Linked DNA regions of Oreochromis niloticus. The protein of the gene in region 1 purifies or fractionates together with the protein of each later gene. This does not show direct contact. Links are inferred from orthologs where the notes say so. Each region holds a gene or a part of one and is shown on either strand. Other genes may lie near its edges. The genes, in order: vti1a and vamp4.

Region 1 (16,548 bases):
AACTCTAAAAAATTGAAGGTATTTCACTGCTTTAGGTATTTATTTATTTTAAATTTATTATAAAATATATTTTATTTTTATTTTAAATTTTCATATTTATTTAATTAAATAATTACTAAAAATATATATATATTTAAAAATTGCTTTTTAAATGTTTTAATATTTATTACATTTTCAATTGATTTCCTCGTTTTAGTTTTTTTATTGGTTGGTTTTGTTTTTGTTCTGTTTTTATTATCTCAAGTGTCACTTTTGGTCTTTTTAAATTATCATCATAAAACCCTAAAATCAGAGTCAAGATATAAGAATCTTAAAGTAAGTATAAGAATACAAAGGCAACAGTTTGTGAAGGTGTCCCGTCTCACATACTCAAATACAAAGGGAGGATTTGAATGCCAAATGTGACCAAAGTGAAAAAGACTTTATTTTATCTTAGTCTTGTAACTAGATTATATTATTGTTTGGGTTTCATTCCCCCCCCCCCCAGAAATTTAGTTTGAATTTGTCTTTTGTTTAAACCTAATTTTACTTTTTAGTTGAGCTTTAGTTTGCTATAAACAGTAGTAACATATTCTGTGGATGTAATATATTGTATTAAACAGTGTGGAAAGTAACTTAATACATTTACTCAAGGGTTGCATCTCAAAGGGAAATACTGTCAAGTTTCTTTCCCACACTGATATGGTAATTTAACTGTTCAACAGTCCTGGGTCTTCCTTGTCATATTTTTAGTTTCATGATATTCCAGATATTTCTACTGATGAAAGGTTTGGACTGCAGACAGGCCAGCAGCATGCCCTCTTCTACTATGAAGTCATGCTGTTTTAATTTATGTAATATGTAGTTGTTACATAATAGCAAATACTATCAATTTTAATGTAATATTTATATGAAATGCTAAACAAACAACATAAAAGTTAGATTAAGCACAACAGATACAGAAACAAGAATACAAATATTTAGACTGAAATTTGCCTGTTAATGAAGTGTGCCGACGCACCCATGTTCCACCTCTAATAGACCAATTTGTCATTAGTTAGTTTAACTTTTGGCAAAACCAGTATTTTTAATTATTTTCATTGCTTAGTTTCCTTTGGTCACCTTAAAAAAAATGAGGCAGAAGTTGTCAATAAATTTAATATTATAATGAAAAATAAAACATTCAACTTATTCAGTTATAAACTGCAGAACTAACTTTGATGTAAATTGTTCCTATTAAACGAATTATACAAATGTTTGACTGAAGTGGCAGGTTTAATTATGTACAATTTATCAAATGTGAACTTAGCACTTTTTACAAGCTCAAGATGTCTTAAAAAATTAACAAACAAGAGAATCTATTACAAAGAATGAGACAAACACTCTTGAGGGATATCTTTCTTTATGTTTCAAATTATATTTTGAGGCCAACAATTTACTTTTACAAAAATAATAAAAAAAAGAAAAAAAAGAAAATGAAATGTTTCTGTAAGGTAGAAAGAGTTGCATGATGATGCCCTCAAGTTTGGTGGGCAGAGGCTTTGCATAAGTAGCAAAAAAGAAATACCAACACAAATGAAAAATAACAGGTTCAAGTAAAAAGTTTAGTCATAACAAAGTTACACCATAGTCTGGTGGCAACTCTTGGACATTAAGACGGTTGTTGAGTTTAATTTTTGGTCAGAGGAGTCAAACTGAGCCTACGGGACCAGTTCCTCTAATGACTTCTCCACAAATAAAAAGTGCTCAGTCAGACTCAAAAAACTACTTAGAAATATAAGTTGGCACTGAAATGTGCAAGAAATCGAAAATTTGAAATTTATGATGGTAAACCTGCAGGATTGGGCATGACATCTTCAGTGGATGCTCATAAACATTGAGAGACGTGTTCTGCTCAGTTTAATGCATCAAGCCCGTTGACATGTATTAATTAACTTTTTTATCACTGGTGGCATCACTTGCTGCTGTGTCATAATGGCACTTCTCCACACATCGTCTTGGAAACCATCCTCTTACACGCTCTCCAGCTTAATGCCAAAAGAAACAGAAAGTTCCACATTTGTTACAGTGACTTTAAAAACACTTTGTTACAGTGATTTTGAAAATTCAACGGGACAATAATTCCTTACCTCTCACTTCCTCCTCACTCAAAACTTTATCTCCATACATCCACCATCTAAAGGGATAAATTACAGTTTAAAAAAAATTACTCATCAAATACCTATAAACCTTATTAGCCTGTGGGGCCAGGTTCACCCCTTAAAGGCTGCACTAAGGTATGTGGTGTACTATGAATCAGCAGCTGGAGGAGAGGCATTTACAGGTCAAAACCTGTTTGACTTCTGTGTTAATCCCAGTTTTTCCATAATGCACTCGGAAAACCAAGGTTGCAAGTGGAACGAAATTAGCAACTGGCTGACTGCTAGGATCTGCTTGGGAGGAGTGACTGTAAATGATGTGGTCTATTTATGATCAAGCTGTGGAATCTGTCACTCAGACCCAAATGGACCACACTCAAAATCAAACACCAAACAGGAAACAGTAGTTCTGTGCAGACAAACTTACTTGGTACCACGAGTAGCCAGAATGGTATCCCCCTTGCAGAGAGGGATCCTGGGCTCCTCGGTGCAGGGGGTTCTAAAAAAAGTTTGTAAACCCTTGCTGAGAGGGCAGCAAGCTCCATTATAATCCTCTACTGCCCGGTACTGGACCTGCTGGTCAAGGCAAATATGATACATGGTTATTCTACTGCCCTGAACGTCAGTTAAAAGTTAATTATGTATGTGTAAAAAGTCTTTAATTTTAGTGCATTAAAACATCTGACAAATTTCACAGTACTGATTATAAGATCTACACTATATGAAAGGTATTTGTTAATTTCATTCTCTATGGTGTATTGCATTGTTACAAGCTAAGATGTAGCTCATCAGTTTCCTGACATGATATGATTATAAATATGATCCTAAGTGTTTATTTAGTATCAATCCCTAGTACTTCAGCATGAAAATACACTCTTCTTGACCTGTATGTTTTGCTTGTTGCACACACTGCATAAGCCAAATTCATGCAATCATAAATAAACCCCTAAGAACACTTGACAGTTATGTGCATTTAAAACTACAGTCTTATCACATTTTGATTTAGTGGAAAAGTATTTATTCTTTAACTTTCTCTGGTGATAGAAACACAACACAAAGGTTAATGGATAATAGTATGAATGGAGAATAATACACTGGCAAGCAGATCTCACAAACATTTCAGACACAATCAAATCTTGTCCTTGCACACAGAATGCATCTGGTGGTTACTTACACTTCTCACTCGTTTATCAGCTTTCTGTTTCAGTTGCTCAATCTGTGTAAGGAGAAATAACAGGTACAAACATTATCTATAAACTGAACTTTTATAAGAAATGTCTAATGAGTCCTCACTGAATCTATGGAGTTATAGGATGTTAAACAAACAAAAACATGTTTTTTCTAATTTTATGACAGAACAGTAACAAACAAAACACAATCAGCAATGTCTACATTACTCAACTCAACCTACAGTTAAGGTGTGCTGGTGACACTTGGGATGGACTGGCCATACAATGCCATCGCCTCTGGGTGTCCCTGACCACGTGAAGACTTGTTTAAAATTCAGCCAGCGGCTGCCGAGGTCGTAAGGGAAGATGAACTCCTCCCCTGTTTGGTAGTGCTGTATTCTGTCTTTGGCCTATTAAAAAGAAAGACAAGCAAACCAAGAAAACACATTTTCTAGTACTGTCATAGGGTACTATAACATGTGTGTCTCGGTCATTTTTAAATATGAAGTACTGCAATGATCAAATGCAAAACAAAACAAACTACTTTTAAATCCCTCAGTATTGCGTGAATATAAAAATCACATTAACATCCCAGATTACCGTTTGTGAATCAAGAGAAAAAGACACTGATATCTCAAAATGTTATCAGGAATCAAAGTCACGGGAATTCAAGCAGAGACATTCTGACCTTTTCCTCTATCCACGACTCGATTGAAGTCTTATTTCGAAGGATGACTTTCATCTGAAAAGGACAGACATTCATTATCAGAGTCAGCAATCTCTCAGCCTATATTTCCTTAAATAAACTGCTTTGTTATTGGAGTATTGATTGGAGCTGGATATATACTACACATGTTCAAGCTTTAAACTTATAAAATCGGTTTCACTCTTTCTTGCTTGAGAAATTTCAGGTACCATCCATTTATTACAGCTATTTAGTTTATCTTTTTTATGCTATGGACTGTCTTTCTTTCTCCCTTTATGTTATGTTAACCATTTTTGTTACATTATTTGCAAATAAATAGGTAGGCGTATGGATCCATGCATTTGTAGAATTATAACACAGTTTTACTTCTGATACGCCTACACACGCCAGAATATGCTCTCTGGTCAGATCTTCACCAGATGCTTTCCAAACTGCTCTTGTCTTGAAGTGAAAACATGGCTTGCAAGATGTAATGTGGCTTTGTAGGATTATGAGTAAATAATCAGACAAATGTCTCTTTTTTTTTAACCAAAAGCTTGTTAAGTTTGCAAAACTTAAGAAAAACTCACCTGTATAACGAAAAGCATACCAACGGCAATAGTGGTGCCAAGTGCCAAACCTAAGGCAAAGAGTGTAGCAGCGAAGGCAGGCACACTGAAGGGCATGAGGGGCTGAAATTGACGCACAGCACTCATGTCAATCCTTACAGTACTCCAGCCGAATGATATCTGCAGTGAGGAAAGAGGAAACAGCTTTATTAGCCTGGTGGGGGTTCGGCCTAGAACTGTGATAACAGGACATCAAAAGCTTGGTGGGGCGAGCTAAGGTGACAGCTCACCCTCTCATACAGCTGTGTGTACATAGTCATAATGAAGATAACGGCAGCGTGTGAGCAACCCAGTGGAGCTAGGAGCAGGAAGCTGGTGAAGTAGGCGTGGTTCAAGTGGCCACAGCAGTTGTTGATCCAGGGGCAGTGGTGGTCCATTTTCATCACGCACCTGAAGGAATGGAGACGAGGAGGAGTAACAGGACATAAGAGTAATAATCTGCGGTCAAAGCTCATTTTTCAATGGTAAATGGTAAATGGCCTGTATTTGTATAGCGCTTTTACTAGTCCCTAAGGACCCCAAAGCGCTTTACACATCCAGTCATCCACCCATTCACGCACACATTCACACACTGGTGATGGCAAGCTACAAGCTACGATCGCCCCTCAATCACCATACAACTGCAAAAACAGACATGTCACATCAATAGATAATCACTAATGATGTGCTCTAAGGTATGGAGCACTCTAATGGAGTGATACTTGCATGAGAGGAAATAACAGGCACTTAAGGGATGAATTTCTTCTGCAATAGTAGTTTGGTGTGCTGCCAATAGCTCAGTATTTTGGAGTCGTGGTGCCTCGTTCCTGAGCCAATTTCTTTGGTCACAAGTCAGTCTTTTTCCATTACAAAGAATTTTTTTGCCACTCCCCAAAGCCTTTTTAGTCAGCAACTAAAGGAGGAGCTCTCTTCTCATTCACTGCCACACTATTTTGTACAGGTTAACCATTGTGAGTGTGCTTAAACATCAAGTTTTTTTGGGAATAAATGTAAATACCTGTTACACTTTCGACAGTGGTGGGACCTGGGAGCCTTGTAGCCTTGACACCCTCTGCAGTACTGTAGGTACTGGGTGTCCTGCTGATTTTCCTGTTTCAGCATAGACACATGTGTCAGATAATATATGGATTTACGACATTTAAATAAGTTCATGCTTGCTAATGTTTGTGTGCTAAAAAAAATAAATATATGAATTTATCCTTACTGGTTTCCAGCCAAGAGGAATGTATCCAGGTCCAACAAACATAGCATTGAAGTAGTTGTAAAGTATGAGGACAGTCCAGTTGATGAGCATGATGAAGTTAATGCTCCCCCCTGTAGTGTCTAGAGGCCAGTACCAGATAATGGAGTCTAGAATTGCCATTGTGGAGCATATAGCAATGACAGACAAGGCTATGATTGGACCCCAGTGGCACAATCTCCGAACCTCATGGAGGTTCTTAAAGGTCACAAAGGTTGACAGGAAGTTCATTTTTTTCAGTGCTAGTTTAGTTCTAGTATTTTGGCTGCTTGACTCCAGAAATTTCAAATGTCGATGTTTTAGTGTTTTCCTCTGCTATCTCCCAAAGTCACGGGTAGAGGTGATGCACATATTTTTTCTCGTCCTCGGAGTATCCAGGAACAGGCCCAGTCTTGAGCTACTGGCGTTTTCTGTGTCCCACGATTTCTTGTCCTGGCAGAGAGCAGCATCCTCTCTTGTCAATCCCTGAAGCACACGGTCTTTGTGATGGACTCAAGTTTCCCATCTGAATTCTGCTATCTGAAAGAAAATCCCGAAGGAGAATGTCCAACCTTCAGTTTGAGTCCTGAAGCTCAAGCCCACCTGGGTTATGCAGCAGGACAATGACATGACACACACCTGCAAGTCTACCTCTGAATGGTTAAAAATAAACCAAAATAACATTTTTGGAGTTGCCAAGTCAAATTCTGGACTTTAATCCGATTGAGATGCTTTGGCATGATCTTAAACATGCTCAAAAAACCTTCAATGTGGCTAAATCAGAACAATTATGCAAAAAAAGAGTGGACGGAAATTGCTCCACATCAACGTGAAAGACGGATTGACAGTTATAACAAATGCTTGACTACAGTTCTTGCTGTCAAGGTTGACACAACCACTTATTAGGTTTAGAGGGCAATTACCTTTTCATACAGGGCTACGTAGGTTTGGATACCCCCTCCCCCCATTAATAAATGAAATTATCCTTTAAAAACTGCATTTTGCATTTACTCGTGTTATCTTTGTCTAATGTTAAGATTTGTTTGATTATCTGAAACATGTAAATGTGACAAATGTGCAAAATACTCTTTCACAACACAATTTAGATCATACTGCTATTGAAAAAGATGTTATTCATGCTTTAAAAAAAGAAACAACTCCTCGGTAGTTGCAATAAAAATACTGAACAACCATGACTAACATTTTTAGCTAATGACTTAAAAGCAAGTACAGAAACGGCAATAAAACATGCCACACTAACGTAGACAGTGCTGGATTTGTATTAGTATTAAATTACCATACTAAAAGCAGAACCATAGCATTTGCTTCATTGACTAATTAGCTTGTGTTACCAAGCTAGCTAATTCTCGCCAAAAAAAGAAAAATAATTACGATTTATATGCAAGTCTTCTATCCATCACTGCACAGTAATGGACAGAAAACTATGCGTTAGACAACTCCGCTTTAAAAAAACAAACAGACAAGTGATAAGTTTATGCCTTTAGCTCTAAAATTGTGTTTCCGTTAGCACCGTGGGTTGAGCAGTTATCGTTAGATAGCTAGCCTAGTCACCAGCATAAACACTAATAACGTAGCATGCTGAACACTTACCACGAGGGGCAAATAGAAAACAAAGATAACCTAAATGACAAATGCTTTGTTTTTAATAAATAGAAACAAAAGGCTGTCACTTTAAATCACCAACCTGGTCACTTCCTTATTTTTTTTTCATAAAATTTTCCTGTGTACAGTGAGGAACCTTCCTCATGGTGTCTCAGAAACTACTACCCTGAACCACTTGTAGATACCTTTTAATCCAAGTAGTAGTCTATCACCGAAACGGCACAGAACTACAAGAATTATTCATGCATTCAAATTCGGGCTGAAATTAATAGCATTTTCTGTCCACCTTTCGAACCTTTTTCAGTGTCGAAAACGTGAAAACAAAGTCAAGTTCCTTACCGAGCACATTATGCTGTGACTCAAGGAAGAAGCTCCATTCGAGGCTTGTTGTTATTCCGAGCTAACTGTCAACCAGAAAGCTACTTACCTGTTGTAAACTCGACTACCAGAATGTCTTCAGACTTTGAAGCATACGAGCAGGACTTTGGAACAATTACAGCAGAAATAACTAATAAAATTGGCCGAATTCCCAAACTAAGTGGAGGTAAGAGAGTTACATTTATAAGCTGTTAAACCTCATCTGGCTTGCTAGCTCTAGTCTCAGCTGACAAGGCAGCTAACGGTAGCGATAATGTGATTTCATCCAAATATTGGTCAAACTAGTGGTGAAACACAGCTATATGTAAAGAGTTCTTGTTATATAAAAAGAATGTGTCATGTATATGTGGCCGTCTTCTTATCTTGGTATGTCTTTGATCGGTTTAGCCGGTGTGAAAATAGTGTTAAAGAACATCCTAACTCTGTTTATGGTGTTCAGAAGAGGATAGAAGCTTCAAATCACTTTAATGAGTAGGTTAATATTAATTGAAACTATTCAACTGAAGTAATCTTTTAGTGTTATCATAGTGATTTAGTGTATGAGATTCAGTGTATGAGATTCTTGCCAATACTTACCATAAAGAAAAACCTATGGATGTTTTTGTGGACAACCATCATTGGAAAAGTTAAGTTTTGGAATGGCACTGATATCACAGCAGCTTTCAGTGACACTTTTGGTGAGTGTAGTTTTTAGTTTTACTGTGGATTTCAGTTTTAGCCAGTTTAAAAATAATTCAGCCTTTTGATACCAGCAAGTTTGAAAGCATACGTTTCTTAATATGTTAGCAAGGGCCTAGTAACTAATATGATGGACTAATAACTTTTTCCTGGTATTGACTTAAAAAATATTTAAAAGCGTGTCTTTGGTTGACTATTTATTTAGCTCTTCACATTCCATTCACTTTTATTTATATAGCGTTAAATCACAACAGCAGTCACTGAAGGTACTTGGATTAGAGCAATGTAACCTTCAGTGGACGGCTTTTCCAGCAAAAGGTTAGGAGTTTCAAAAATGTTCTCATTGATCTTCAGAACACAGTCCTGGATGCAGCTGTAGATGGTGTACTCTGGTTCATCCGTGCGTGCTGTCCTGCACAAAGGTGCAAAATAAGGACAGTGCATGAGGTAGGGCTGCTCAATTATGGCAAAAATGATAATCACGATTATTTTCACTGAAATTGAGATCTTGATTATTTGACGATATTTATTTAACAATAACAATGTATTGAATAATGGCTTTAAAGATTGTCAAAAAATAGTATAAAATAGTGTGCAAATACTGATTAGTGCAAATGTTTGCAATATAAAAAATAAATGAAAAATGTAAACATCTATGTTTAGTGAACTTCAAAAAACTGCACAATATTTGATCCACGTCTGACTCCGCGAACCCATAATGTTTCCACACCACTGAAGTCGTTTTACCTCTCTTTTCAACCAACGGCATTCTTTCTTCAGCAGCCGTTATCCTCTCCTCTCCAAATAACTTCTGCTTAGCTTTCCGAGCTTCCCTCGGGTCTTCTTAATTGTTGTGACACGTGTTTGAAACGCAGAGAGGTGTGCTCGATTTGCCACACGGAGCAGCGCGAGAGTAAAGCACGAGGGAGGTGCTAATAATCGGCTCAGTCATTTTTAATGATCGTTGAAAGCCCAGATCGTAATCTAGATTAAAATTTGATTAATTGAGCAGCCCTAGCGTGAGGTCCATAGTAGGAGTTACAGATGGGTTTGAGGTGGGATTACATCAAGCATCAGGTCTGAGTTCCTTCTTGTTTGCAGTGATAATGGACAGGTTGATAGATGAAGTCAGGCAGGAGCCTCTGTGGACTTTCATGTTCGCAGATGACATTTTGACCTGCAGTTACAGTAGGGAGCAGGTATAAGAGGTCCTGAAGTTGAGGTATGCACTAGAAAGAAGAGGAGTGAAAGTCAATAGACAAGAGAGAATACGTGTGTGAATAAGAGGGAGACAGATGTAACAGTTAAGATGGATGAGTTTAAATAAAAGCAATGCACAGTGCACAAGAAAAGTTAAGAAAGGAGTACAGGAGAGGTGGAATAGTGTCAGGGTTTATTTGTGATAGATGGACAACAGCAAGAGTAAAAGGAAAGAGAAGGTATTGAGACCTGCTATTAGTGCTGTGCGATATGACGATATATATCGTGTGGACGATAGAAAAGTTTCTATCGTGCCATTTGTCTTCTATCGTTTCTGTCGTTTCTAACCCTAATTTCATAAATTATTACATAAAATATATCATTAACCCTTTACAACCGGTCGGAACAGGCACACTCCGTTTTGCCTAACTATTTTTAAATCCCTGTAGAACTGGAACCACGTAAGGTAGCGCAATAATTTTTTTTTGCATATGAAACCGTAGGAGTTGTACTTACATGTTATTCCATTAGCTTGCCCTAGGTCACGGTTTCCTTCCACATATAGCTTTGCAAAAATTGCATAAAAAGCACTTCCAGCAACAAAAACATAATATTCCAGACTTGCAGCAACAAAAACAATATTCCGGAAACACGCTTTGCCGATCCGATCAGCTGTTCATAACACTTCCTAGTTGGAATATATTTGTCAGCGCGAACTATCGCATGTCCGCCATTACCTGACCGAAACCGGAAGTGACGTCATTTTCGCGGAAAATGTAGTTTTTTTACTTTTTATAGCCTACGTTGGTGTTTTTAAAAGTCATGTTTGACTTTATGCTTTTCTGTATCGTTTCCGGGATGCTTAGAAGTCAAATTACACTGTTGGAAATAGTTTATTTTGATGCACAAGCTGTTTTTTTGCAAATTTGCATTATAATATTTATTTTCATTTTTCCTGTAGTATATAAAAATTAGTGTATCTCAAAAATAAAACTATGAAGACACTCAAAATAAATTTCTCGTGGTTGGAAACTATTTTGTGCAACTTTCTGGTATTTACAGTTTTGAGGGATAAGCCTCTTAAATTTCTCTAAGTAGAAATACATGTTAAAAAAAAAAAAAAAGATTTTCAATTTTTTTGTAGTTTATTGCACTTTTTTGCAATTTATGTAGTTACTATGGACTTAATGCATACATATCATTAAAATTTGGGCTATAACGGTTGTATTGATGTATAGCAACTTGAAATGCTCCCACAAATGGCACTACAGCATGTAAAATGTAAAGATAAGCTCTGGCGGACTTGGTCTCATGGTAGGTCTTAAAGGGTTAAATAGCCTGTGGCAAATATATTAGTGTTGTCTTCTCACTATACATACTCTTAACTTTATGCAAGAGAAAATAAAGTATAAAAAAATGATATTTTTCACAAAGAAACTCCGTCTTGTGGTTTTGCGACATGGTGCTGCTTTACATGCACCCGGATTTGCGACATGCTTTACGGTAACTCAAAACAAAGACTGCACCCTCTCCACTCGCTGTTTACAGACTGCATACTTTCCAGATGACCACAGGTCAGGTGGTATATCGTGATATATATCGTTATCGTGATATAAAATAATTCATATCGTGATAAATATTTTTTCCATATCGCCCAGCACTACCTGCTATGATGTATGATTTGGAGACAGATCATTAATAAAACCACAAAAGACAGAAAGTTTTTAAGATTTTTTGGGGGAGTGGCCAGAATGGATTAGATTAGAATTGAGTACATCAGCTCGGATTGAGCAGTTTGCATACAAAGGTGGAGAGAAAAGGCTGAGATGGTTTGGAAATGTGGAGAGCAGGGATAGTGAATGTATTGGACAAAGGGAGGAAAAAAGGAAGACCACAGAAAAGATTCATGCATGTAGTGAAGGAGCACATGATAGGATGAGGTGGAAGCAGATGGTCTGCTGTGACAACCCTTAAAGCGAGCAGCTGTAAGAAGAAGACATTGCTGGTTTCATCAGTTTGTTAAAGTGATAGCATTCTGTCATTCTATCAGACTTAATTCAGACATAACCAAAGCCACATGTAACACTTTTTGAATGATATATTTAGAATAGATTGTTATTAAATTGTAGCTCTTCAAATGTGACTTTGTGAATTCTTTAAAATGAAAACACAGGTATTAGCTGGTAGCTTCTGGTCTCGTCTCCTTAGAGTTGTTTTGCCTCTTCGTTTGTATGACCCGCAACTCCTTCACTTTAGAAACACTCATTGATAGATTCTGATGCTGTAGGAGTGCAAATCTGACTCTGTCTTCATCAACTTTATCACAAAATTTTATTTAAAGATTTTATTCTGTAATAGAATTGAAACTGAAAGCTCAACATACATGAAAAGTATTTAGGGATTTTTGGTGTGGTCCATGTGTGCTTCCAGCAATTAATGCTGTGTTCACACCACTGATAAGAAGCTACAAACTGACGCCTGACACTTGTTGATGCTTTATGTGCATCAAATCAAAGTTGAGCTGACGTCCATCTTTTTTTTTTCAACCTATCATATGCTTGTTGCAAATAAACACTTGAGCGACACTTCAGTAGCAAACCAGTGACAGTGTCGCTTGTGATGTCTGGCTGTCTTTGTAACTTTGTCTGGTTGTGAGAATTTAACATTAAGGCATGCAAAAGCTCTCTTTGTTGTTTAAGGAGGATTATTATTCTGTTGAAATGTGGAAAAAGCATTATGTTCTAATTTTGTTTTGTACAATAGAAACCTCTTTAACATATCTGACCACAGTTTTGATAAAGGTGTAGCTTTGAAACTTCCTTGAGATAACTTTGGGCAGCTGGAGAACACCTTATTACTGTAGGATATTCTCCTATATAGTCATGTCTTCTTGAGCTGGGCAACTTAAGATGCTGGAGAGACATCTGCACAGTGGTAATCTTTTTGAAGTTGGTTAATTTTTGTAAATTTTACTCATTCAGACCTACTAAGACTGCTGTTTGTGGAACGACTTCGAGTATTTCTCCCCTCTTCTGCTCTGCGTGTATCAGTTTCGGAGGAGAAGCAGAAGAGACATACACATGCGTGCACACACAGTGAAACAGACAGCAGAGGAGAGAAACAAAACTGAATTGGACTCTTTTGAACTGAGCTAAAATAAAAAGTGTGCACAGAATATAAGTCTTTGGCTTGACTATAGAGGGGGCGGATTGATCCAAATATTGATAGTATCGATAGCAATTCTGGTATTGATACTCAGATCGATACTTTTCTTTTAAAAATATCCCCTTAAGTTCAGTATGTAGCCCTCTGAATTGTATTAAATTAATTAATTTAATTTAATAATTTTTTGGAAATGAAAAAATATACCTCCAACATACACTATGAAAAATGTCAAACAACAGAAGTTGACACGACCTTTAGAGACGGGCACATTTACATTCTAGGTCTCAAAAAAACGCAGTTTGAAAAAAACATGAAACGCTGTAAGGTGTATTTTGTTTTGTTAACCAGTTATTATGGAAAGTAAAAATCAGAGTGAGTTAATGGTCACTATTTGCAAATTGATGATGAGCCATCTTTTAAGTCACGAGTCACTGCTTTCCCCAACATAAGCTGCCTATGTAGGTTTAAAGTATCGGTACTGGCAATTTTGGCCCTGTATTTACTTGGTATCAGATCAATACCAAAATCTGCAATATCGCACCGCACTACTTAACTACATTTTCAGATAGTAATATGTTGTTAATTTTAGATAAACCTCCTTTCTGATCGCCAGTTCTGATACTTGGTTCTGTAGGTTTCAGACATATGAAATCCTGATTATCTGAGCCTGTGTTTTTGATACTGTAATTTATATTCTGCAGGATCTAGGCACAAATGCATGACTTTGACTTTTTTCTTTGAAGGGAGTCTTTAAAATGTATTTATGTTTAAATTTCTGTACTGTGAAGACCTGCACCAAAAGAGGGTTTAGAGGTGGGTTAAAACCTACAAATGCTGTTAACCATCTAGCTCTGGGTCTTCCCATCTTGTTTTTTCTACATGCAGATTTACCAGATTGCTGCATTAGTGCTTTGGTGGCAGTCTTTCAAGATGGTCTCACTAGACAGGCAGCTGAGAGACGGGCAGCTTGTGGATTTGGCTAAGGCTGGAAGGGAAACATGAGTATGGACGACATGGAAAAGGCCAGAGCTAGTTCGCCAGTTGTGATTTCACTTTAAAAATGTAATACTTGTACGTGGCACCTAACATACCCATAAATGAATGCAGACATATCAATTGGTAATACTGCCTTATTTAAAATGACTTAATACAAAGCACATAATAGAAACTTGAGCTTCAGTTGCCCCCGTTATTTCACAAGGGATCACCACAGTAAAAAGCTCCACTATTGACATTGCAGATTTTTTTTAAACCTCAGATTCCCTTCCTGATGGAAGCCCACAGGGATTTATGTCTCCTCCTGGGATCAAATCGTATTGTTTGCTTGTTAGGTGGATGTATAAACAGCTACACTGTCATCTGACACTACTCAATACCAATCACAGTTATAAGCTGAGACAAAATAGTCATTGAGTTTGTATATTTTTTTCTCAGTGCAAGAGCCTTTCTGCACAGCACCTTCTTCCATTTTTACGGTCACTTTTCAAAATTAAATGGTATTTTGCAGTGTGAAATACACTGGGTGTTTTTAGTTTACAGCTACACTAAGCTAAAATGGTGGGAAATATATATCTAAAGGTGGATATGACAGTTAATTTAAGGCTGAACTACTACATATTAAAATTTTGGTGTCCACACCTAACTGAGTAGTAGCAACCGTTACTACTTACTTACAGCGAGTGTTAACTAGTAGTTTGTTTTAAGTTTTCAGTTTTCATATTTGGAAGCTTTATCTCTTCCTCTCGGCTCACACTTGCTCATTGGGTTTTCAAAGGCGCTGCTCTCACAAAACCTCGCTTGACTGAATATTTCTGGTTTGGAATTGGCATGTTTGAAGACTCATGGCAGCCCATTCCGCAGAGTAATTTCTCATTGCTTCCTCTCACCATCTGTTGACTGTGTCAGAGGAAGCCTGTATGAATATGTACAAAGCTAGAAAATGCATTACAACCATAAGTAGTTGTTGTGTGTTTTCTGACACCAATGGAATAGTTTACAGTTGAATTTCAATTCCCTTCCTACTCATTAAGTTTTTCTTAAGTTCTTTTGGCTCTTCTTACCCAAGTGGATGCATTTTGCACATGATATTCCCTCTGTTTAATATTTTAAAAAGGGACCATAACGTTGTTCTTGTAGTTTATTACTTTTACTCGCATGTTATGTTGTTAACAATGGCCATGGCATGTGGAAAACATGTCCTGGATGTTCACAAAACTATTTTAAAAAAGTATATTTATACATTAATTTTTGTATATTATTTATTTGCAACATTGCTCCAAAACTCGGCATCAAGAAGAAATTTGAATAAGTATACTATGAACAGAACAAGACTCAACATCCTTGTTCTATTAAACATGGCTCCAAGTTTTCACGTTTGAGTGTTCATGGCAAGAGATTATTTGTCAATCACTGGCATTGAAATATGAAACATAAAAAAGTAAAAGAGAAATACCAAGCCCTTTGTTTTCTTTTTTTGCCTTACTTCTGTGTACAAAACTCCTCATCCGTCTGTCAGCAGGTTCTAGTCTTGGTAAATATCCATACATATTTCACAGCCCTCTAGCTCGGGCCTGAGCTTGAGTACGAAAGCGTCATCTCATCTTTCACTGAATTGCCTCTGGCTGTTTACTATATAGGTTGTAAGGTTGGACACAGGTTTTAAAAATGAATTTGAGGACCATGTTGGCCTATGGCACCTGAGAAACGAAGATCTTGGCTTAGCTCTTTTTTTTGGTAAATTTTTTTTTTTATTGCAGTCCCACAGCTGGGTATTCTTGTGATTTACTTTTTTGTTTGTTTGTTTGTATTTTAGTTAAAATGCCTTTCATACTTTGCTTTTAAATCTTTATTAGAATACATCTGTTGGGGTTTCAAAAGCAAATAACATTTTCAGAATTTCTTAATTACTGTAAAAAATTTAAGATCGGATCGACTTTGTAGGCATCACCTCTGGTCTGATAGAGTAGTATTGATAAGTTAACATTTACCATCTGTTCTTAATACTGAGCTGGTGTTTAAGATGCTGCACCTTTTTGTAATGATACATTTTATCTGTGAATTTATAATTATGTCACTTTTTGTTTTCTGGGATTTTTAAAAATATATATATAGTGTAATAATTAACAGATTGTCAGTATATCAGGTCCACAGGTGTCCTCTTAAACTGTTAAACCAAATATACTACAAGATCAGCACTATGACTGACTTTTGTGATATGCTGATGCACTGATAACATTAACACAACTTTGTGTTACAAATGTACTCTATTTAAAATTTAGTATGATATATTTCACACCATGAGTATGCAAAAGATTTCCACAACACCTCAAGCCTGGGATGGCTCTGACATTATTTTGGCTTCACTTTTGCATTACATTGATCGCTTTGTCTTTTTCCTCGAACTGTTGTGTGGTGGGTGCATTGTTCTACTTAAGGGAGGCTGCTGCTGCTGGGGAGTGCTGTTACCACAGGGGTGTGCAACAATGACATATGGTGGATGTGTGATAAAGTAACATCCACATAAATCTCTTAACCCAAAGTTTCTAAAGTAAAGCTGCATGTTAAGATGACATTAAATGTTATTTTCTTTACCCTCTTGTGGCTAATGGGTGTATATTTTTATGTTATTAATGGTATTTATGCATAAGAGAATTTATTTCCTAACTTCCATTTTTTTGTTTTCTTT
Region 2 (16,984 bases), on another chromosome or scaffold:
CTTTCACTACATCCATGAACTTTCTCTGAGGTCATTCTCCCTTCTTCCTGTCTGACAGCTCCATATTCAGCATTCTTTGTCCAATATATCCACCATCTCTTCTCTGTAAAGGTCCAAACCCTCTCATTCTTGCCTCTCTGACTTTGTCTCCAAACTGCTTGACCTGAGTTTTTCCTCTGATACACTCAACTCCTCAACTCTTCCACCTCCAGCTCAGCCTCCTGTCTTTTTGTTAGTGCCACTGTCTTCAGATAGCAGGTCTCAGTACCATCTTGTAAACCTTCACTTTCACTCTTGCTTTCATACTTTTGTTACAAATTACCCTGAAAATTGTCTCCACATTCCCTTTTCTTCTTCACCTCTCTTGTGGACTGTTCATTGCCCCCAACTTTTTAAACTTGCTACCTCTGCTCCTCTTCATTGTTACACCTATCTCCCTCTCACTCACAAACATGTATTCTGTCTCGTTTCACTGACTTTCTTCGCTCGTCTATCCAGAGAATACTGCATCTCTCAAGGCTCCCTCCCGTCTGCATCCCTACTCTCACCACAGGTTATGTGTCTGTCTGTCATGTGCAGAAATTCCTGCCCGACATCAATGGTCAATCTATTCATCACCACAGAAAACAAGAAGGGCCTCAAAATAGATCCCCGATCTAATCCCACCCCCACCTCCAACCAATCTGTCACTCCTACCGGACACCTCATATATGTCTACATTACCCTAAAATACTTCTCCTGACTTCCTCACATAGTACCACAGTTCCTTTCTTGGCTCCCTATCATATGCTTTCTCTAAAGACACAGTGCTACTCCTTCAGACCTTCTCTATATTTCTCCATTAAAACACTCAAAACAAACATTGCCTCTGTAGTGTTCTTTCTCTTTCTGATCTTTTGGCATATCAGCTCTCTGTAGTTACTGCAGCTCTGCATATCACCGTTGCTCTTGAAATCACCTGGCAAACTAAATTTCTTAATGCAGTATTAAAACAAATAGTGAGTGTTGCGCCAAACCCCTTCGTCACCCACTTTACCTTATCTTGCATTTTGATGTATTTGTGCAGCACACCGCACAGTTTGTTGTAGTCTCCATACCATTCAAAAGCCTTCTCCCCTCTCTTCTTAAAAAACTTCTCCCAGTACTCAGCAGAGCTGAACTCCTCGGCGGTGCGAGGTAAAAGACTCATGGTCGGCTGCGATGGTTCAAAACGTTGCAGATTTTACCGTCACTGAACCTACAGCCACTTCTCCACATGGCACTTGGCTCTGATTTCCACCCGGACAACATTGCTTGCAGTACCGCTTGCTGATTGGTGGAGTGCCCCTACAGACTTAATGATGATTGGCTGAGGCTCTCAGATTTACTGTTATTGGTCGCTGCATATGTGGAAGTGCTCGGTTCGTTGTTGTTAGTCATCCGGGTTCAATTCATCATGGCGGTACCCGCTGGAAGGTCTGTGGTTTTCGTGACAGGGAACGCAAAAAAACTTGAAGAAGTAAGAAACAAATACTTCATACCTGAGGTGGATTGTATGTTTACGGCCGGAGTGGCCTTTCTAATCCGTTCCAGGAAGAATATGTGTTCATTTAACGGTCCTTTTCATGCTGCATGTTGTGCTGGCTAGTTAAAGTGAGATTGAGACTGGAGCAGTAACCAAATCCAGAAATCCCTTGTTTCGTTTGCCACAAAAAGGCCTTACTTTTTTTTTTTTTGCTTCGTCTGCTTGTTTGTGATCCGTCAGGTCATTCAGATCCTGGGCGACAAGTTTCCCTACAAACTAGTGGCGAAAAAGATCGACTGTGAGTATCAAAAGTAACACCACTGGCTAAAGAAAAATAAATACATAGATAAAAATTATGTGGTCATTGCTCTTGCAAAATTTTCTTTATGCAGTGCCTGAATACCAGGGAGAGCCAGATGAGATCTCCATACAGAAGTGTAAGGAGGCTGCACGACAGGTACAATATAAAACCACTGCCATATCACGTATTAATTAAAGACAGTGTGTTAAACGCCTTTTTCCCCTTTAAATTCAGATTGATGGACCAGTCATAGTAGAGGACACCTGTCTATGTTTCAGAGCTTTGGGGGGATTACCTGGTCCTTACATGTAAGTAAACTATCTAAAGTATGTATTCAATTATATCATCTTACATAGTGATAGTGAGCGTCAGTTTAAAAACAAATATTTGTTTTCATAGTAAATGGTTCCTGGAAAAACTCAAACCAGAAGGTAAGTAATGAAATAAATGCTATCTAGAATGTGTTGTTTAAACACACTTATGCAGAGCTTGATGGATGCTTGATAATCAAGTTAGGAAATCCCAGAAAGTTGATTTAGGTCATTTTGGCAGATTGCTTTCAATTGGAGAAACCTGTCATCCCTTATCCAGACGACTTCTCTGCAGGCTCCCAAACCTTATAGACAGTACGGTTGCATAAAGATCAGCACCATTGCTTAACAATGAGTCATGTGCCAATTAGAATTGTCTTCAGAAAATTGCTGGCTAGGTATGTAGCACGGAAGTGTTACCTGAACAGGCCAGAACTCGGCAGTCTACACCTACAAGCCAGAGGCCAATCTTTTGATGAAGATGTGCAGATCCTGGACAGGAATGAATGAAGGTTTGAGCGGGGAGGGCATTGATATAAAAATAGAGGCTCCCTTCCTCAGTTCTAATAGTACATCTCTCACCATCTTACAATGCCGTGATTGGAGCCATTCCCCGGTTCTTTGTTAGTAGTACTCATGGCCATTCATATTTGCATATCCGCAGTCATCAACTGATTGTGTGGCTCATTCTTATGCAAGCACCTTAATAGTTAAATTTTAAAATCTGTTTATAAACCTGCAGTCAGTTGATACTGAAGAAGTCGCACGGTTACTTCACATAAACCAAATCAACATTCTGGGATTATGCAGAGCTTCTTTAGAAAAACTAGTGTTGACTTTTGAGTTGTGTGTTTTTTTTTTTTTTTTTTTGTTTTTTTTTTGTTTTTTGTTTTTTTTTTTATTATTATTTTTAAAATACGTTTTAGGTTTGTACAAACTTCTAGCTGGATTTGAGGATAAATCTGCATGGGCTCTCTGCACTTTTGCGTTCTCTGCTGGGAAAGATGAACCCATTCAGCTCTTCAGAGGGAAAACAGAGGTCAGTCTGTCTCTGTAAATCTGTCCTGGTGTTTGTGCTTTTGTGAGTGTATTTTGTATTGACTCCTGTGGTATTTTCAGGGGTGCATTGTAGAACCCAGGGGGCCTCGAGACTTTGGCTGGGATCCCTGTTTCCAGCCAGATGGATATGACAAAACGTAAGCAAAACCATTTCCCCTTTTCAACCAACAAGGGGAGCCAGAGGTTAACACACTGCCTCTGCATTATCAACCATACAAATCCTTTTTGCTTCATGTGGTGCACTTGGGATAAAGTATTACTGTTATTATTTAAAATTTGTATCAAATAATAATTTTCACAAGTAATTTTTTTTCACTTTTCTGCAGCTATGCTGAACTGCCCAAAGAAGTTAAAAATTCAATCTCCCACCGGTACCGGGCGCTTGCTGCCATGTCTGAGTATTTCTCTCAAACCAACAATACCTCACCACAGACCAAGAAGAAAAAGGAGGAAGATTAAAGATAACTTTTGCTCCAACTTCAGGCTTTGAAGTTGCAGTATTATGCATCAAATATAAAGGGAGAAAATATTCCTTAATACGAAACTGTTTGTTAGCCCAGAAAAATATAAAAGATAAAACATTTTTGATGCGTACCCGTAGTCTCTTAAGCAGGCAAAGTGCTGCGTAATATCTGTTTTCTCTTATTTTTTAATAAATGTTTTTGAACAAATCCACCCGTCTATGTGAACATTTCTCTTTGAATATTACCTCTTGGATACTCTGAGACAACCTTCTGAGTTTTTGCTTCCAAGGACTGACAAAGATAGACTGAGGAAGAGCATAATTCATGAAAAACAGGAGCTCCAGGGTCCTGATGAGAGCAGCAGACTCCTCTGTGGCTGAGACTGGCTCCTAGATTTGGGGAGTGAGACACAGGGCTTGAGTCCAGAGAGGGGAGGGTCCCTGAAGGGGAGAGCGGGGTGTTCAGTACAAACACCACAGTGATAACAGAGAATCTTGGGTTATAAATGGCCCATGAGCTGAAAGCCTCCAAGCAGGAACTATGCATACACCTGTGACTAATATCTCCCACATGTATTGAATCAGTGATGCATGCTTCCACAGCAGTAGAAGCATGTGTCAGTGCTGCTCCTACTGTTACCAAATGTTTAATCACTTTAATCAACACACTAAATGCCGTGTTTGTTACACTTGTGTATTGTTCTCACTTATCTTTCCTGCATGAAGGACTGTACACTGTAACGTTTTCCCATGTAGTTAATGACATTGATAATCGGTAAAAGTGACAGTTTCATAAATAAAAGTGCAAACACAGGACCACCCTGTTTCTCTAGACCTCTAACTCTAATTTGGGATTTGAAGTAGAAGGTTGCAAAAAAAAAAAGAACATGGGAGCTGTTTTTTTTTCTCTTCAAGGACACTTTACCAGTTTTTCCCAGAATATGAAGTCTGCCTGCCAGGCTTCAGGTTACTAGAGGTAAAAGACAAAACAATTACTGTGAGTGCTGAAGCATTAATCGAAGCCGAAATGCCTGTGTGACTGTTGGATCATTTGAAAGGTATCATTAGGGCATGATACCTAAATTTCAATACACTATCCAAGCCCACTAACAGGAACGATATTCATGTTTTTAATATGATACAGTTTTTGGCTGATAATGTGTTATGTGGTCCCTGGGACATATTTATGTAGATTTCTATGTAAGTGTCTTCATCCTCATATTTAGAAATCTGACAATATATTTCATTCACTCCACTTTACTTACTTTAGTACTACTTGCAGCTCATTTTTCTTGCCTTTTTTTTTTTTGTACTAAAGAGTGTCTGCAGCACTTTAAAAAAATCTGTTTCCAAGAAAAAGAGGTCTACTCTTGGTACCATCCAAACTATAGAGTTTCTGAATTTTCTTAAACGCAACTTTAGGTTTAAAGTTTTTGGAAACCGTTTAAAAAAAACTGTAATACAGATACTGATTTCTGGAATAGGAAAAATAGTTGTTTTTTTTAAATTTGTGACTATATTTCAGTTTCCTCTACCATGGCAGAAACAGACAATGGTTCTTTTGTTTGAAACTCTCACTCATGTGTATACGACAAGCATTACAAGTGAAAAACCTGGAGACTATAGAACGTGCCCAGGAGCCAGTCAGTAATAGGCGTTTTTCCAGGCACTGAAAGTCCATGGTAGCTGGAAAAGCGTCTCCTGACACGACCTGCAAATCGAATACCTTTCCCCAAAGCCCTCATGGGGAAACACAGGATGTTTTCATTCTTTATTACAAACAGAACCAACACAATGCTTATCCAAGGAAACTTGCTGTTCTAATAAGAGAGTATGCTTTGGTTAATGAAGGAATGTGCTGCTCAAGGATCCTGCGAGGAAAGGACGCCTGACTTTACGAGATTCTTAATCAGTCGTGGTTGTGCCAGAGGAGGAGGATGGCTTGATGTGGCACTGGGGAGACAGACTTTACTTCATTTTTATTTGTTATGCACGACTTACCTGAATTCTCCTGCTGTGATGAGTTTTATTTAACAGCAGATTTAAGTTAAAAATATTTTTTTGTTCCTACAATAACACGTGTACCTGGAAAAGGCTTTGATTATACACCACATGACTTACAATGCTGACATCTAAAAAAATCTGACTCCAGAAGGACATTTAATAGAGGCCATTTTCCACTCTATAAATTTGGTTTCACCAAACTCACTCTTGAATGAAGTGTCCTCAAGGGATTTTAGGGTTCAGACTAATGAATTAATCCACCATGAGGCCACTGGTGTGCACGATGGAAACAGTTGACCTAATACATATTCCTGCTGGGACTGGTCCTCTCCGTTTTCACTGTTTATGACGAAACCATGAAGCTCTCTGTGGAGGCACAGAGGGCTCCATGAATATTTCCTGTATTTAACTTCTCCAGAGGGATGTTGGGATCTAATTTCAGCCATAATCTTCTGACTTGTACACTGACTTTTGGCTACTACTTTTATCACCACTGTACTGTAAAAACAGCCAGTATAAAGAGCATATCAGAATCTGGGTGTTACAAACTTAAAATCAAGTAGTCCTAAGGGGAAGATTGTGATTTATACATAATAATAAGGTATTTCTCTTCGTTAGTCATTTCTAATTTACTTGTGTTTTGTCTGAAACAGGTCTCTCTTGTAAATGAGACACTGAGTCTCAATAGGACTACCTGTATAAATAAAGTTTAAATAAATTAAAATAAATAAGTCTCCATAAAACATGCTTAAGTACAACGGCAGTGTTTTGGAGTAAAATACAGAGAGAATGAGACAAGTAATTCCAGATATGCATAATAAAGTCATTAATTTTTTCAACAGTTAATAGTTTTGTTTCAGTCCTTAAATTAAAGTTGATTTTGAAACGTTATCACCTTGTAAACATTTCAAGACCCAATTGTACCTTTACGTAGAAAGGAAATATCTTCAAATGAATGATAATTTGCTCATATTAATCCAATATGTGAGATTTAATACAGACTATAGTGGCATGGTATACACCAATCATTTGAACTTTAAATAAAACTAAACAACAGTGGGAGCCTTCTTGTCATATTTGGTTTGCAGTTTTTAAATAGAACAAAGCATAACAGGGACTCCTGTGTTTCAGGGAAGAAGCATGACTGCTGCTCTCTGAAAACTTTATTTGCATGAAAACATACACCTGACTATATCTCAGCCCTAAAAAGCATTGACGCCATGCACAAAATGTTCTTAAAATATGTAATTAACTACTGAACTGATTGAGAGATTTAAAAAAGTTTAACTATGAGGTTATTCTACAAAGCATTTTCCCCCACATAGCGCTTTTTAAAAGATAGCAACCGCATTATGTACGGGGGAAAGGTGGCTTTAAATAAAGGGTCTATTCCACTGGGGAGATGTGTTGTATGACATTTGATGCAAACGGAATAAGCTCAGAATTTAAAAAATATAGTCTATAACCAGTCTGCTTTTTAAAAATGTTGTTAATGTCCCACAGGGAGAGAGACCGAGAGACACCATATCATAAAAGTGGACTTGCTCTACCCGAAGAGCCCAGGGTTATGCAGAGTCAGAGTCTGTACGAGGCGCTGGAAGTCCTTCACCATCCAGGGCTGTTGGTGTGTCCCCACTGCACAGGCACTGCTGCTCTCAGGGCTGATACTCTGCGGGTCATTAAATGTGATGAGGACATCTGTGGAGAACTGCGGCAGACGGAACAGGCCCAAGTGGATGGTCACTGAATTCCTTGCTTCTTCATTGAACTTAGAGACGGACTGAGTCCCAGTCAGCATCCACGCAGTGCTGCACTCTGACAGGGACAGCTCAGATTTGGGCAGAGTCACAACACTAGTCACTTCAAAAGCCCCCGGCTCCAGAGCTTTGTTGCTTCCCGCGATGTCCTCAAAGTGGTACCTGGCTGCATCCTGGTCTGCCACCTGACCCTGGTACTCCACCAACTCGACGATCAGGCTCTGGTCTGTGTGGGCGTGGGCAAACACCTCCTGGTTGTCCGGGATTTCTCTCAACTCGCTGATATCTGTGGCGCTGTGAGGGATCACAGCTGACAGGGCTCCTCCAAACAGAGGATGAGCCTCGTTAGCTGCTGCACTCTGCATTTCTCTGTGAAGCCTGTAAACAGAAAGAAACACCACAGGTGAGACCGTCTCCACCCACATAAACACCACCTACTTAACAAAAATTGTAAAGGAAAAAACAGAAGCTTTGGTGAAGTTGCTGAACACATCTGCAGCTCACCAGCTCACCTCCCACTGCACGGTCAATGTGGTTCCGGTGAAAACTTAATCTTCTTCTTCTTGTTGCGTGTGTTTTTTTTTTTTTGCCATTATAACAAACACGCTGCTGCCACCTACAGGTGTGGCAGACCTCGACAGAAACGATTTCGCAGAATAAACTTAAAAATTATAAATCTAAAGTTTCTGATTTAGTTTTCAAGCTCATAACATACATAGCAAAAAAAGAAAACAAAGAAAAGAAATATATAAGTAGGTTTAATTCGAACATTTAAATGCTGAATGTCCAAATGACGTACATGGACGTTCAACAAAACAAAGTTCCCAATATATTATTCATCTACATAAAAGTAACACAAATTTTGTGCTCAAAAAGGACAAGTATAAACTTATATGATCCCACTCCTGCTTTCTGTTTCATAGCAAGATTCACCTTTCTTTCAAATGACCTGGAAATGACACAATGACACAAATGACAAATGACAAATATAAACAAAAGACTCCCTTAACGAGGTAAAAAGCTGGATAAATCTAACATTAAACCAAAAATTAAAAAAACAAGAATAAAAGACAATAATTTCATGTAATATCTTTAAAGATGTTAAATACATCCATTAATTTTTTTTTTTGTTGCAAACCATGAATTGATTAGGTTCATTAATAATCAACACCCATTGTACCTTTAAAAAGATGTTGGATACATTAATTATGTTTGGTCTCATTTGGATTTGTGGGAAAGAAACGATTCAGTCTTTTCCTTTATGAGTAAAAATAACGTATTCTTTGTTCGAAAATGTTAAGTTGTCAGTGTTATCAGCTCAACATTTTTAAGCAACCCAAATGTTATAAAGAAGAAAGCATGTAATGTACAGAAAGAGCGGAAGAATCTGTCTATTTATAGATCAGCTAAAACTTATTTTACCGTATTTATTAGAAAAAACTAGTGGTAATATCCTTGGTACAATTCTCTGTCTCAGCACTGGCGATTGTTTGTAATAAATAGTGTAAAGGCACCATAAATACATTGGTAAAATTAATTGTTTCTTTGAAGAGACCAGATTTTTCTTCTTTCTAAACATATATTACTTTGAACTTCTTGTATAGATAAGGTGGAAGAAGACATTTTAATAAACAATGAAATCCTCATAAACACTGTAAAAACACGCACTCCTGTGACAAAAGTCAAAGCAGTCTACTTATTACACTGAAAATTGGTTTATCATTATTATTATTGTTATTATTATATTTTATATATTTCTGTGTAGAAGTGGAATATTTACTGCATAAAAGAACGTAAGGTAAAACATTTTCCGCAGGCCGTAAAACATCTGCAGCAATTTCTCCTCCTCCTCCTCCAGCTGTTTGTGTTGATTTCCTGGTCAGCTGATTCAGACCGAGCAAAGATAGGAAGAGGAGAGCTGGCATCCACAATGATCATCGTGTTTCATGGTCATTGATAGCATTTGAGATGAATCAAACAGATCCGTAAAGTCGCATTAAGCCTTCGTGTTAATTTCTGAGTTTCTGTGTGGAGGAGTTTACCGGCTTCGAGCGGCGGATCCTGTGGAAAACAGCAGGTAGCCGCGTTAGCATCCTTAGCTTAGCTTAGCTTGGTAGCTAAGCGGCCTGTCTGATACGGGTAAAATAATAAAGAAGAGTGTAACTAAGCTGTAGTAGCTTTTAAATTGTTTTTCGTATTGTGGAGTTGAAACTTCATTGTTAATTAGGTTGACAGGAATATTATTTTCTAAGATTTAGGCTGTCAAACAGCTCGACCTGCTAAAGTTGTTGACGGCTGTGATATAATGTTAATTAGCTTATGAGATTGTGAGCTTGTGTGTTCAGTTTTACTCCTTTGCTAAACTGAGGGATCCTTAAAGCTATTACTTTACTTGTAATAGAAAAAAGGGGGGAAATCGGCCGCAGATAGCCAAGCTTTACTCATTTGGTATTCCTCTCTTGATAGAAATTGATTGTGGGATTGATTTTTCATTCTTCTTCTGTTTGCTTAAAGTTGCAATCAATGAATTGATTAGGGTAATTAATAATCAACAGCCAACATTAAGCAATTTCCACAGGTCTTTTGTTCCAGTGTGAAACCAAGCCTTTCCTTTATGTAATAAATCACTGCTTTTCTTTCTGTTTTTCAGTTTTTTACCTTTAAAATTGACTCTTGAAATAGACGTCTTCCTGCTTTCCTGCCTGAGCCTTAACATGTTACGTAGATGTAACTCTGGCTTCTTTCTCTTCACACTATTCCTGCTTCAGATCTGTCCCCTGCCTCTCTTCTCTGTTTACTGGAAAGCTCTTCTCCTCTTCTGACCGCTGAAAGGCCCAGTTTTCCAGCTGCAGTGCCAGAAAAGGAATCTGAGAAAGCCACTGTGTCAGAACTAGCTGGATTCAATGGTATAAGTTGTATTGTTGGTTTAACAGAGACTCTGTGTGTGTGTGTTTGTGATTATATTACCACTGAGGGCCACATGTTGTTTAGTTCAGTGTCACAGAGGCCCTTTAATGAAGCATCTGTGTGTGTTTTGTCTTGCTCTTTGGAGCATGAAACACCCAAACACAGACTCCAGGGTGCATAATTGGAAGAACAGCATGTTTTCCATTTCCGTGTTACATGGAGAGCAATGATGACATTTCCTTTCATATCTAGTGAGACTCAACACCTGCTCCACCAGAAGGATTTGGATTTAAAACAGCTTCATAAGATATCTGTTTTTGGACTGTTTTAAAAAATATTATGTTTCTTGTATATGAGAAGCTGGAAACTCAATATCTGATCCAACATCACATCCAATTACTTTGGGGACTGGAAAAATCAGTTATCTTGAGCTACACTCTTGAGATTCCTAAACCTGATACAGTAAAGAGGCTATGTAAAGTAAAATAGCTCAGATGAATAAAATAGAATACAGATGTCTTACATTAAAGTGGCTCAATATATCCAGAACAATAAGAGTGTAGTGAACAGTGAAATAAAGTAGCTAAACAAATAGAGTTGTATTGCTGGGCCGTGAATTCACATTTAGTCATTTATAATGTTTAGATTCTCAGTATGTTTGTAAACTCTGCATGTGGTTATGTCTGTAACTCCTTTCCTCTTACCAATACTGGAATCTTCTCAATTCAGGTATCTAACTCTGTTTTAAGTTCTCCCACAGTGTGGTAAAGCTTCATTGATGACTTTTCTTCTCCTGCCCTACAGAGGGAGCCAGACCGGGAGGAGCAGCCTGAAGACAACATGCCACCGAAGTTTAAACGACACCTCAACGACGATGAGGTCACGGGATCGATTCGCAGCGAGAGGGTGAGACACAAATAGACATGGAGGAGCTGGTGTTTGGCGTTTGGGTTTGTAACAAATTGCATGCGCAGTTAGAGAAGCAAAGTAGGACATGTAGTATATTTTCTAAACCACTTATACCATTCATGGTTGGAGAGAGATGGAGCCTGTTCCTTCAGATGTTGGGCAAGAGGGTACTGGACATGCTGGACTTCTATCTCATAGGGTAACACATTACTTTTACTGTGGATTGACTGTGGATCCCATCCTGAGCGAGGAAAAAGCCCTGTATCAGATGTAGAAAGTTTATTTGTCAGATTAGTCATAATGGAAAAGCAACAAAAATAAGGGGAGCGAACCAAAACAACTTTTTTTTTAAGGGGTGAAGCTTTAGAAACTGCTATGGCCAAATGTCTGGTCCTCATCAGGTTGATCATCCCGTCCCACGCACCTCAACCTCCCCTGTCCTCCTCCTTATTCTTTATTGTGTTCATTCCTCTCTTTCCTCTGTGTCATCCTGTTTGCTGTTGTGTTGAGCTGAGATCAAAGCAAAGCTTACCGGGAGGCTTGCATAACAAAATAACCTCCCATGCTTTTCCTTCAGTGCCCGGCCTCCTGTCTTACAATAATTGCTAACAGTTTCCTTCACGTCTGCTGTCTCGAATGGAAAGAAAGAAAGAAGTTTGTACAGAAGGAGATTGTTAGTGCCTTAACTTATAAAGTATTTTATGATCTTATGGCCACCATTCCCACAGATTTTTTGCAGATGCCATTTTATTTACAGGAGAATAAATTGTATTGGCCCGACATTGACTGGCAGAATTGACACTACAGTGCATCCATAGGTGTCGCAGTTATTAGAAGGTGAATGCCATGGCTGAAAGAATTGAGATTTTAACCTTCGTTACTGCTAAGGTAATGAAATTCAAATGTAATTGATCTTTCTCATAAAAATTTCACACTGTTGGGTTTTAATATCGATTACCTTTCTTGTGTAGTCTCTAGTAGCAGTGGATAAAGTCCACCTGCCTTCAGTCCAATAAGAAACAGACTCGTTCTCTTCTCCTGTGAGAATTTAATGCAGCTGTCCTCACTTATTCTTTATAATTAGCAATTTACACCAGAGTGCTTTTTGCCCTGATTAAAGCCAGCAGTCGTTCAGACTTTTCATCACTGCAGTGATTTTGTGGCATAATTCGCCGTAAGATGCCAGACAGGTTGTCCCATCCCTTTTCTTTTTTTCTTTTTTTTTTATCTGATCTGTACAGTTTTATGTTGGCTTCTCAGCATACTGATTGTCCATCCATTCATCCATTTTCTTCCACTTATCCGCCACCGGTTTGCTGGGGTAGCAGCCTAAGCAGAGACACCCAAACCTCCCTCTCCCTATCCTAGTCCTCCGGCTTATCCAGGGGAACACTAAGGTATTCCCTGGCTATCTGAGAGATATAATCTCTTCAGTGTGTCCCTGGTCTACCCTGTGGCCTCCTTCGGGCAGGACATGTCTGGAAAATCTCACACAGGAGGCATCACAACCACTTCAACTGGCTCCTTTTGATGTGAAGGAGTAGCGTCTGTACTCCGAGCCCCTCTTGAATGACCGCACTCTTCACCCTGTCTATAAAGGAGAGGCCAGCCACCCTTTAGAGAAAGCTTACTTCTGCCGCTTGAATTCACACTCTCATTCTTTTAGTCACTGTCTAAAGAGCATGACCGTAGGTGAGGGTAGTGATATAGCATACTGATCGTCCTGCCCTGAAATACTTTCACTCCAGTGCTTATGTAATGTAGTGGCTGCTCTCACACATCACATTCTTAGATCAACAGACTTGAATTTTTATTGCTGCACACTGTGACGACTGCCCACCTGGCCAGTAATAACAAGGCATCCAGTCTGCACCAGGCTGGAAAACAAAATCTGGGGAAAAGTTAATAGTGTGCCTGAATTCAGCCAGTCATGCAACACAAGCTTGGGTTTCTATTGAGCCTGTCTTAGAAATAAGACAAGAAAACACATCAGGTGTCTGTTTTCGTAGTCACATAGCTCTTTGTAGGTAGGCAGTGTGTTTACAAACAACTTATTAGTATATTGGTTATGTGTTCCTCCAGTTATTATGCATTATTTTAGTGGTGCCCTTATTTTGGGGCATCACTAACAACCTCTACTTAGAACAGATAAAGGAGTTTTTATTGGGCTTTGGACAACAGAGATTCAGCTTTTGTTCTGCTGTTCATTCATCATACAACAGCCTGATATTGGAGCCCTTTGTAACTTTGACCGGTTGTAGCATGGATCCTGTGGAACTTGATTTTTGGAGGGTAGGGCCTGCATTAGTCAGACTTGTTGTTGTATTCCTTGAGCTGTTCCTGAGTGATTTTTTTGCAGTGTGCTAGGGATTATTGTCCTGCAGGGGGCTGCTATGGGGTTGCGCTTTTTTGGCATCAGTGTTTAGGCAGGGTGTTAAGGTGTGAAAGTAACATGTTGATTAATTGCCAGGACCTAAGGTTTCCTAGCAAACAACTGCTTTTTAACAAGCTGATCAGTTTGACTGTATTTAGACCATCTGTTAATGGTTTTAATGTTTTGGCTAATCGAAGCACTGGGCTAATGTTGTATTCACTGTATTGACCTTCGAAGGATAGTAAGCCAAAGGCTGTCATTGATCCCTAAAGCAGCGTTTTGGCCTTTTGATGGATATAGTACGTCCAGTTTCTTGAGTTCTCATCACCAGGACTACTTGTCAGCAATCTGCTCAGGCTTTAATGTTGGTAATAGACTAGTGCTCTGACCAAGTCCCTCCTTATCCAAAATAGATATCAGGCAGGCAATAGTCCCAACTTCTGTGAACTCTGACCTTTTTCTCTTTTACAGAGGAATTTGTTGGAGGAAGACTCTGATGAGGAGGAAGACTTCTTTCTGTGAGTGTTTGTTAATGAATTTAATAATAATACATTAGATATTTAAAATTAAGTTGCATTTCAAACAGTAGAGCCTTAATTTGCTCAGATGAATCAGGCTGTGAAGATGTTATGTTTTTCTGACATATACTGACCAGGTTTTAGAGCATAGAGAAAACAACCAACCACCAAATTGAGAAAGTTTAATAGCCAGTCTAAAGTTGTAGCCAGTCTATGGGAGTAATATCGATAATATTGATTGTTAGAGCATAGTACACTAACTAATCAGCACAATTCATGGTTGTAGTCTGTACATTTGACTTCATCCATGCTTGTTTTTCAGGAGAGGGCCAACAGGACCCAGGTTTGGACCTCAGAATGACAAAATCAAGCAGTAAGTACAAACACATACCTCATTACAACAAAGAATCAGAGGTCAGAGTAGTATTTCCATTACTGGTTTTGGTATTGGTGTTATGTAACTATGGTTCGTAATGTTTACCAAAAGCTGCTGGTTATTACCAGATTGTGTAAGAGAGCCCATCGTGTGCAGGTTATTGTGTAACCTTCTCAGGATGTCTCAGTCCCTCTGCAGACTAACAGAGAACAGAGGAGGTCATTGTTGAGACCGTCTGGCACTCTGACTTGTTTCTCCACACTCCATTCATACTTTATAGTTTGTTATTGTTGTGAGCATATGAAACTAGATGCCATAGCTGCACATTTGACGAATGTTAAATTCACGGGGCTCTTGAACCTTAACCGCTGTGGTCACTGTAGTTGTTTATGTGTCGTGATGGCAGCTCATACTTCTTTTATGTCTTTCTAATTGTTTGTTTTGCTCTGGCTTATGACTGTATACCACCTTCAGCATGCAATCAAGCTGATAGCCAAGACTGATAATTTACTGCAGAGCTTTTGTTTGAAACAGTCAGTTTGATTGTGAGTGAGAGCAGACAGTTGTTATAGAGAGAAATTCCACAGTTTTATATCATTATTTTTCCTCACTCATGAGTTTCTTTGCCAACTTCTTCCCGCTTGTTAACCATTCAGGCCTCCAAGTGGTATTACTCTAAGATAAGGGTGACCTAAGGGTAATCTGAACTACTCATAGCATACTCAGTTATGAGTAGTATAAATAAAGGATTTGAACTTTGCTGCAGATACCTAACAGGTGCAGACAGGTCACGCTGAGGCTGAAGGACATCTGTCATGCTTTTCATTGTCTGCCAGCTGGACAAGGCCAGACATAGAGAATCTTTGTACTGTACCAAAATAAGACCGGTCCTACCGTTGTGATTCTGTGTCCTCAGGGTGCAGTCGCAGGTCGACGAGGTGATCGACGTGATGCAGGAGAACATCTCCAAGGTGATAGAGAGGGGCGAGCGACTCGATGACCTGCAGGACAAGTCAGGTGAGACACACGAGCCGCCACATGTGCATATTTACCAGACATGTGTGCACTACTCAAGCATGAAAGGCAGGAAATACCATTACTATTATTGTTTTAAGATTTCGTTTCCAGAAAGACCCTACAGACTTATTTTATTTTGGGTTACTTAGGTATTTAGTAAAGCTTTCTGCTATGTGCATCAAATTTAGAAGAAAGTCATTTACTAATGAGGCTTGGACATTCGTAGCATGCAAACAACCTTAAAGTTGAATGCCCTCAACTTTAATGGTAATGCAAGCATGTGGTTAGCTCTCATTACAGCGCAAGACTAATTTAGAATAGTTTTTAACAGATGTATTCAACTGGTAAGAAGTTCCAAAGTCAAACAGTCAGCTAAGTGTTACTGTGCACTGAAGATATCCTACCTTTACATTGTGTCGGTGTGTTACGTAAATTAAATGGAACAATTTCTGTAAACCTTAAAATATTAAATATGTTTTGGCTCTTAACAAGGATAAAAGCATTAACATTATGCAAAGTTCTTCAAACAGCAGGACTCGGGTGTGCAGTAGCAACGATGGCATGTGAATAGACTCCATATATGCAGTGTTAAAAATACCTTGCATCCCTGTGTAACTGTTTCCAGGTATGCAGCTTATAGCGTTCGACAGGTTTTGTGCTCTTACTGCTCTTTGTTGGACACGCACAGCTCTTCTTTTTCGCCGCTAATGAAAACACATTGCTGCACTGCATTTGTTTTTTTGGTGTCACACACACACAGATGTTGTACATTGCACTCCAGCTTAGGTCTATTGTGTTGATCAGACAACCAAGACAATGACGCACATCTGGAACACATCTTTGTGTGTCTTTGATGTGAGTCTTTGTGCATGTGGACATGTCTGTGTCTAATTGTGGCTCCGCTGTGCCTGTCGTCCTTCAGTCTTCCTTCTGCGTTTACGTGAGAAATTTACAATCATGTAATTGACACTAGCAGTTTGCCCTCTGACCCATGTGCAGGTAGTCTGTGGTTAAATTCCAAAAGCCTCTTTTTAGAAGCCTGAGCACTGCTCTGTAGTGGTGACAGGTTGTAAACATGGAGATGGAAACAGCAGAGACAAAGACTCTAAATAGGGACCTAAGCTTAGATAAGTACAGCAATGCACACTAGGGAGCTCGACCCTACCTTCATGTTATCATACATAAACATAAAGTTAACAACGGTATCCAAGAAACAGAAAATCAGTGGTGTGGGCGAGTCGTTTGGAGAAGGGCTGGAGGAAATGTGTTTTTGCTCCATTGTGTTTTAATGTGGAAACTTGTACAACAATTGATGCCAATAGAGTTGGTTTAAAAAAAAAAAAACGATGTTTAGAGGAGTGACTTCACCATCACAGTTAAGTCTTACATAACTCCTACACATGCACAACACCGAGCCAAAAAACTTGAGTGACCCTATCCAGCTTGAGAATGAAAACAATATTCAGCTTATTGTTTACTTTACC

The links.
Region 2: the proteins of vti1a (region 1) and vamp4 purify together in Homo sapiens (affinity purification with mass spectrometry; 4 studies listed by BioGRID and IntAct, counting the BioPlex papers as one, with this or other methods). This does not show direct contact. The link is inferred for Oreochromis niloticus from reciprocal best matches to the Homo sapiens genes VTI1A and VAMP4.

What each region holds. Positions count from the first base shown.
Region 1 is NC_031973.2:13,238,679-13,255,226, forward strand, and holds the start of vti1a (vesicle transport through interaction with t-SNAREs homolog 1A), read left to right. Parts: upstream 1-7,852; 5' UTR 7,853-7,892; coding exon 7,893-7,986; intron 7,987-16,548. Other genes in the region: palmitoyltransferase ZDHHC6, read right to left, coding at 1,906-2,006, 2,109-2,155, 2,545-2,693, 3,292-3,333, 3,529-3,696, 3,975-4,028, 4,562-4,720, 4,831-4,990 and 2 more. UniProt on the Homo sapiens protein: V-SNARE that mediates vesicle transport pathways through interactions with t-SNAREs on the target membrane. These interactions are proposed to mediate aspects of the specificity of vesicle trafficking and to promote fusion of the lipid bilayers.
Region 2 is NC_031986.2:38,752,141-38,769,124, forward strand, and holds the start of vamp4 (vesicle-associated membrane protein 4), read left to right. Parts: upstream 1-9,258; 5' UTR 9,259-9,476; intron 9,477-10,167; 5' UTR 10,168-10,302; coding exon 10,303-10,305; intron 10,306-11,110; coding exon 11,111-11,212; intron 11,213-14,060; coding exon 14,061-14,107; intron 14,108-14,429; coding exon 14,430-14,480; intron 14,481-15,399; coding exon 15,400-15,500; intron 15,501-16,984. Other genes in the region: mettl13 (eEF1A lysine and N-terminal methyltransferase), read right to left, coding at 1,037-1,189; itpa (inosine triphosphate pyrophosphatase), read left to right, coding at 1,436-1,498, 1,745-1,802, 1,897-1,961, 2,040-2,113, 2,205-2,236, 3,043-3,155, 3,236-3,312, 3,502-3,634; rangrf (ran guanine nucleotide release factor), read right to left, coding at 7,189-7,764. UniProt on the Homo sapiens protein: Involved in the pathway that functions to remove an inhibitor (probably synaptotagmin-4) of calcium-triggered exocytosis during the maturation of secretory granules.